Linked DNA regions of Mus musculus. The protein of the gene in region 1 interacts with the protein of each later gene in a biochemical or structural test. Links are inferred from orthologs where the notes say so. Each region holds a gene or a part of one and is shown on either strand. Other genes may lie near its edges.

Region 1 (3,817 bases):
CATGACCGCTTGATGTCAAATCCCGATTTGCCATTTGTGAGTGGTGTCCTCTTGAGCAAGTTTCTTAAGTTGTCTGATTTTTTTCTTAGATTCTTCCTCTTCCTCTGCACGACGGGGAGAGAGAGAGAGAGAGAGAGAGAGAGAGAGAGAGAGAGAGAGAGAGAGAGAGAGAGAGAGAGGGAGAGGGAGAGGGAGAGGGAGAGAGAGAGAGAGTTACATAAGCTAATATCTACTGAGTTATAAATTCAAGGAAATAAAAGGTGGTAGCTATGCCCTTTACAAGTGAATCACCCCACTGGTGGGTGACAGAACTCATTTGAAAGCCCAAGGCTCCATTCACTGTCTTTAGATTCCTGGTTCCATCCTGTCCCAGTTAGTGAATGTTTGGCAGAAGTTGGGGTTAATGGGCATTGCCATCCCAATGTGGATCCCGACTTTGAGAGTTCCTGTCTCTTTCAGCAATACCTGAACACTTTCTATGGCTGCCCCAAGGAGAGTTGCAACCTCTTTGTGCTGAAAGATACCCTCAAGAAGATGCAGAAGTTCTTTGGGCTGCCCCAGACAGGTGACCTTGACCAGAACACCATCGAGACCATGCGGAAGCCAAGATGTGGCAACCCAGATGTGGCCAACTACAACTTCTTCCCCCGCAAGCCCAAGTGGGACAAGAACCAGATCACATACAGGTGCCCAGGAGGGTCTGGGGGGACACAGAGTCAGGACCCTGAGGGATGTGTGCTTCCTTGGGAATTGCCTTCCTAGTTTAGGGGATCCATGAGGTGTCATTCCTCAGAGCTGAGCATTCAGGGACTTTGCATACAGAGTTCTTGATGTGTGGCTAGGTTTGAGTCTCATATTCACTAATGATTGAGGCACTGGTCTTACTCTCTTGCACTTAGAGTTGGTACCCTTGCCAATGAAACAGGGCTAAGAAATCTGCTCCTCATAGGGGCGGTTGAGGAGCTACATTAGATTAAATGTAAATCAAAGGTTTCCACAATGTTTGATACAGAGCAAGGGTCTACAAGTGTTGGTGATTGTCATTGTCATCTGGGTGGGTCACTGGGTCAAGTGGAGGAAGCTTGATGACCAGCTGATAATTGTGTTCTTAATCTTATAGTGGTTTTATGATTGGTTGCTAATTGAGCCAAGACCTCTCCTCTATGTGCCTGGTATCGATCAAGGGTGAGATCTCTGCCTTTTGTTTGATATTGTACTGTTTATTTCTCTGGTGCCCTTGTCCCAGACAGAATGAGGGATGAGAAGGTCTGAGATTGTAGAGACATCAAGGCAGTATAGGAGGGTGTTCTCAGTGAGTTTTGCTCAACACATCTGCTGCACGAGAACACTTGCACACACACACACACACACACACACACACACACACACACACACACACACACACACATGCACACACATGCACACACACGCACGCACGCACACATGCATGCACACACTCTATGCACATAGACACTTGCACAATTGCATATATGCACAGTCGTATGCACTTCTCCCCCTTCTAGGATCATTGGTTACACACCTGACCTGGACCCTGAAACCGTGGATGATGCTTTTGCTCGGGCCTTAAAAGTATGGAGCGACGTCACTCCGCTGCGCTTTTCTCGAATCCATGATGGGGAGGCTGACATCATGATCAACTTTGGACGCTGGGGTAGGCAGAACTGGGCTGGAGAATGGGGTAGCACAGAGACAACAGGGCTAGGTAGTCATTTGAGAAGCATGGGGATCCCGAGGGCAGCTTACTGAGAAGTGTAGACATCGGATGCTCATCAGATGGAGGTAGCAGAGCATGTTCCAGACACTGGAAAGCCACGGCTGTGATAGCAGAGGATGCAGTATAGTATACCCTGCTTGCAGCAAAAACGGACTGCACCCTGTAAATGACAGCCCCTAGATGCATATGGCTACTTGGATATAACATAATAAGAAAGACCTTAACAATTTAAATTCAGTAGTCCCAATAGCAATGCAGGAGGAAGTGGAATAGAATCTGGGGCCAAGCTACCATGTGAGCTGTTGGTATCTGGCAGCAGTATACGTATGAAGGCTGGTGGTATGGATATGAGTAGGTAAAACAATGAAGGTGGAGGGCATGGGAAAGGCAATGTGGACCTGGGGGTAAGTAAGGGAAACATTCTGTTACAGTAGAGTCCGAAGGCTAGCTCTGTGGATAGTGATGACTGTCTGGCATGAGAATAGAGCATAGTGAGGAAGATGGAGTTGATGGGAGGCCATGGATGCCAGGAAGGGATTGGGCTATCATGCTGTGGTGGCACTGAAGACATGTGGGTGGGTACAGTGTTCCTGATAGCAATGAACAGAGCAAAGGTCTATCTGTGGTGCAGGGGAGAGGACCATGTGTCCTCGAGGAGTATGGGCCACAGGATGGGAGCAACCAAGCGAGAGCTTTTCCATTGACTCCCAGTGATGCTTATTCCATAAAACCCCAGTAGGAAATGTGAAAGGGACAGGTATTTGGAGGGCTGAGGAACTCCAAACACAGATAAGGCTGTGGCTGAGCTTAAGGATGCAGCTGTGGGGGCAGGGAATGATAACAGCTAAGAGGCAATGTGGATTTCAGAGCATGGAGATGGATACCCATTTGATGGCAAGGATGGACTCCTGGCACATGCCTTTGCCCCGGGCACTGGTGTTGGGGGAGATTCTCACTTTGATGATGATGAGCTGTGGACCCTGGGAGAAGGACAAGGTAAGATAGCTTCCGTCAGCCTTCATTCCTGTCTCCTAGCAATCTAACCCCACTTTCAGCCCTTCATTTGCTCTGATGGGATCAGGGCAATGGGAGGAGGAGGGAACTCAGCTTTCAGGATGAGCCCATAGCGCAAGGCCCTGAGAGGTGGGTCTCAGGCTCTGTGTGTCCTGCAGTGGTCCGCGTAAAGTATGGGAACGCTGATGGCGAGTACTGCAAGTTCCCCTTCCTGTTCAACGGTCGGGAATACAGCAGCTGTACAGACACTGGTCGCAGTGATGGCTTCCTCTGGTGCTCCACCACATACAACTTTGAGAAGGATGGCAAGTATGGCTTCTGCCCCCATGAAGGTGAGCATCTGCCCTGGCCCCAGCCCTCACCCTACCCAGGCCCTCAGCCTAGCTAGGGGTACCTGCCATGCCTACATCCTCCACATTCCACAGGCCAGCCAACCTTCATCCCCTCATCTAAGTGTCCATTATCCTGCTTTCAGCTGTCACTGTGTCCCGCCTCTACTGTGTTGCTTTAAGGACAGGCACACATTCTAAGAAGTGTGTTGCTCAAGTTCATCGTCACTGTGTGAACATAGTATCCTGACACAAGCTGAGAAGGGAACAGAGTCTCCAGTCAGTCTGACCTCATGGACCACTGTCACATAGGACTCCCACCCTGTGTGTGTGGTCTGTTGTAGCTTAAATGCTATTTTTGTGGTGCACAACCATTTCTGCTTACTTTTTCATATTTAGATAAGTGACTTAGCTTTATTATTTGTGAGATTATGGATTTGATTTATTGATTATTTTTTCTAACATATGGGAGAATGATTTTGAATGTATCAACATTTTTTTGGAGGGCCACTTTATACTTCATACAAACTCTATGGTTCAAGGCCAGGAGGCCAGGAGAAGAGAGACAAGGCCTAGAGACAGATGAAGAGCTTAGCAGTGGGAGAGGAACAAGGCTCAGTCCAAGCTGGTACCTGATCCAAGGAGGATCTTCAGTCTGAGAATATTAGCCATCCCTCCCAAACTGGGCCCACTGTACCAAAGAGAGTCACTTAAAGTGGTCAGAGCTATGCCATCTGAC
Region 2 (3,917 bases), on another chromosome or scaffold:
TCCCTGTGGGCTGCAGGTTTTATTTTCCACCTTGTAGGCCATTGTAGAGCCCACTCAAACAGTGGAGTTTCCCGGCTTGTTCACAACCATACCAGCACCTCTTTTCCTGAATTCCAAAATACTTCAGTATTGTATTCATTTATTCCAAGATTATATTCTTGGGGATATTGGATGGGTGGCTGATTTACTTTTCTGTCCCAATCAGTTCAGTATGGAGGAGGTTGGCCCAGCACCAGGTTCATGGAGGTAGAACTGTTAGGGTCAAGCTTATGCACAGGGCAAGATAAACACTCAGAAAACACATCCCAGAGATGTATTTGGGTTCAAGATACCAAAAATTGTGTACCATAAAACTTTCAATGGAACTAGGTTGGTAGAGCAACCTATCCTTAACATAGTGAAGTGGTGACCAGGATCACTAGAGCAGGGACTCCTGTGAATGGAAAGGGAGTTCACTGTTCCTCCTAACTAAAAGGCCATGGTCATGATCACAACTCTGTTTAGCCCCTTCACTTACCAGTCAAAAGATACTGCTTGTGACTGTTGGTTTCTAGCTTCACACCACAGAGGGAAGAGTCAAATGGCGTGTAGACATACTGAATATCCTTGGCCTTCTCGAACCCTTTAAACATCTAAAAGGCAGTTACAGAAGGGCAGCACTGGGTCAGGAGTGTAATAGGCATGGCAGCAGGTTAGAAACTGCTCATTTGTATCCAAACATTAAACAAAGCTCAAATTCAGACTTGGTGCACAGATGACCTTGCTGGCATTCATTCATTCATTCATTCATTCATTCATTCACTCAAGTCTACACCTTGATTTATCCCAGGGAGATGGGGAGGTCCCATGAACGAAGAGCTCTAGGACAGGATAGATAGCAAGTCCCCATCCTGAATAATCATTTGGTTCCCATGGGCCCAGCCCATACCAGCTCATATTCACTTCAGCACCTTCATAAAGAAACCAGAGTCCATTGCCTGACTCTTACCAGGTTCGTCCCTCCCATAGCACAAACCCCATCCCTTCATCAGCCCATCATGGTTCAGCCCTTGTCCTGCCCTCATGTACCTTTATCTGTTTGATTTCATACCGGATCAGTTTTTGAGTGTCAGCAGGGTCTTTGCTGGCAGGGACTACCTTCTCACTGGATATTTTGGCCCGTATCACTGAACAGAAAAAGGGAAACTTTAGCACTGTAGGAGTATGCCATCTGAGATCTGGATGGTCCGGGGTCCTCTGAGTGTCCAGGAAACTCTTGGTTCAAGTATTTTGGGTTCTTCACAGTATGGCACATTCGAGAGAAGGGACTTGGAATTTACTCTGCAGTGGTTGCCAGCTTTAAGCCCTTCAGGGCTATTAGGTCCTCACATTGTATTCTTTTGGCCTTTTAACCTATTGGTTTCCAGAGCACAAGTTCTCCGTAGCCCTGGTTGTAGTAAGAGTAGGAGTCCCTTCAAAGCAGTTGGTGTGGGACTCATCTGTCTATACATCTTAGAACCTCATAGCTCACTAAAAGTAACAGTAACAAATGTTCATTGAATTTGTAAATGTCCTAATTCTCCATTGAGGAGATTCATTTCTTTACATCTAATCAAGAACTGTATCTTATTTTATTTTTCAGTATTGAAGACTGAACCTAAAGCCACATTCATGACAGGCAAATGCTCTATCATTGAGCTACAGCCCCAGCACTGGAAAGTCTTTAAAAAAAAAAAAGGATTTTCCTCTCTGCCTGAACTTTCGCTAGGCACAAGGCTCATCGAAAGGGCTCTCACCCTGTAGAAGTCTTGATCTAATGGAGAATACCTTATTTAAAAAAGAAAAAAAAAAAAAAGCACCTACCACAAATAGGGAACAGCAAAGAATCAAGAAGCCTTCAGAAAATGAAGGGTGAATAGTAGTTGCCAGGAATTTAAAGTTGTGAAAGAAGGGTATCCAGGCAAGGGAAGACAAAGGTAGAAAGATGTGTCCTGTGGGGGCACCTTGGCAACCTCAACTGCAGGCTGGGAGACAGGTGTTATAATGCAAACACCCCTTGCATCCTGGAGTTCTAGAAGTTACTTGATAGCTCCAGAGACAGCTAGGTCCTACCAAGCTGAGCTGATAAAACTACTCGAGAGGTCCGTGATAGAATACTTCTACAAATCAGGCTTTGCACTTCCAAGGTCAATAAAGCAATACCCATTTCTGACTTATCAGCTGTTACAGGAGGCACCCATACATGAACTGAGCTCCACCCCTTCCCTCAGACTCCGGGTCTAAAGCTCTGCCCAACACCACGTTTCCTACTGGCAACCCCTGCTGTGGTCCTCAGGACCATGGACTCACCTAGAGCCGAGTGGCAGAAGTGCTGCTGGGGGTGCGCAGGCGCACAGCTGCACGCCTCACCCCGTCCAGGGGGCCACAGCAAAGCCAGCAGCCTCAGCACCAGCGCCCAGCTCAGCGCAGCCAGGGGACTCCAGGGCATGACACTGCAGAGCCCCAGCTGAGCTCGTGGGGTCTGCCTGTCGTAACAAACAGCCCCTCCAGGACTCCTCCAGAAAGCTTCGTGCAGCCCCAGTCTTTATGAGGTGGCTTTAGAGCCAATCACGCCCCCATGGGCTCCTCCCTCCTTTGGCACCAGGCCACCCACAGCCACAGGACCCAAGGCCCTCCTGACCAGACCAACAAACCCAGTTGGGAAGTTGCAGAGGGAAACCTGCAGATTCCGAAAAGAGCCTGGAAGTAGAGGAAGATTCTGCAGTTAGGGGCAGAGAGATAAAAAAAAAAAAAAAAAAAAAAGCAAAGACCAGTGAAGAGACTTAGAAAAGGCAGAGAGATGAGGGAGAGCACTAAGAGCAAGAGCTAGTGAAGGGAAGCATAGACACAGAGAGACACAGGCCAAGTCAGAGGCAGACAGAATTACAACAGGCAAAAGAGACAGTGACAGAGGAGGACAGACCCCTTGCTGAGCTGCATACTGGGAGTGAGACAAGCTACTCAGGGTTTCTTTCAGCTGCAGGAAGTGTTTTCAATGCCCTATTTACGAGGCTCCAAAGCAACAGCAAACAGTCAGGGAACAGGACAGAGAAAGTTGGGGTGTGTGTGTCTTGGCGCTGTCAGCCAAGGGTGGGGGTGGGGGCTGTGGGGGGTGGTAGGGAAGGATGTCAGAGAAAGTAGCCAGTGCTTTCAAACCCTTTCTTACAGCCAGTGCCTTAGTTAACCGCTACGGGGGGGGGGGGGGGGGGGGGGCGGGGGGCAGTTCTTTCTGTGGAGCTTAAAACAGGGGTGTCCTGTAGCTCAGGGCAAACTTTGGACCTCAGAGCGCCTACTGCACATCATTGCCCAGTGGAGACTGCCATGTTGCAGAAGGTGGAGCCGCTTAGCAAACAAGCCAGGCACTCATTGTGACCCAAGCCTTGTCCACTGTTTGTCAGCAAACTGCTCCAAGAATTTGAATGAAAAGAAGCTCGTGGAATGGCTGCCCGGGGAGGGTAGGAGGCTGGATCCTGATTCTGACTGCCATTGGGTCTGTTAGTGATCTGGGCCTCACTGGGCCCGAACTCTTTTCTCCATTAAGTAGGACTGAACTATACGATTTGTCCCGCTCTTCATTTTACATTTGATAGTGATGTTTGAAAAGAAAGGGCTCGGGAGAGAACGAAGTTAGAGAGAGGCAGGTGACAGGTCCAGGCTAATGTCAAGCTCAGGCCAAGAGTTGTCTCTTGGAGGGGCCTTAAAAGCATCAGCTCAGCCTTGTCACTTGGCAGATGTGAAGGCTGAGAGGCTCAGTACCATGAAGTGGCTGGCAGAAGATCAGTGGCCGAGAGAACTGGAATCTTCACCTGCTAGTGTGGCTTCCTACTCTCTCCCCACCATGCCATGGGTCTGTGCTACTTCTGCCTGCGTTTCGTTGCAGCTCAACACCCTGCCTTTGG

What was found.
Region 2: the proteins of Mmp2 (region 1) and Timp4 form a complex in vitro, tested with the Homo sapiens proteins (2 studies listed by BioGRID). The link is inferred for Mus musculus from reciprocal best matches to the Homo sapiens genes MMP2 and TIMP4.

Annotation. Positions count from the first base shown.
Region 1 is NC_000074.6:92,830,162-92,833,978, forward strand, and holds part of Mmp2 (72 kDa type IV collagenase preproprotein), read left to right. Parts: intron 1-459; coding exon 460-686; intron 687-1,523; coding exon 1,524-1,672; intron 1,673-2,602; coding exon 2,603-2,731; intron 2,732-2,907; coding exon 2,908-3,081; intron 3,082-3,817.
Region 2 is NC_000072.6:115,249,312-115,253,228, forward strand, and holds the start of Timp4 (metalloproteinase inhibitor 4 isoform 1 precursor), read right to left. Parts: upstream 2,895-3,917; 5' UTR 2,468-2,894; coding exon 2,329-2,467; intron 1,167-2,328; coding exon 1,069-1,166; intron 633-1,068; coding exon 518-632; intron 1-517. UniProt on the Homo sapiens protein: Complexes with metalloproteinases (such as collagenases) and irreversibly inactivates them by binding to their catalytic zinc cofactor. Known to act on MMP-1, MMP-2, MMP-3, MMP-7 and MMP-9.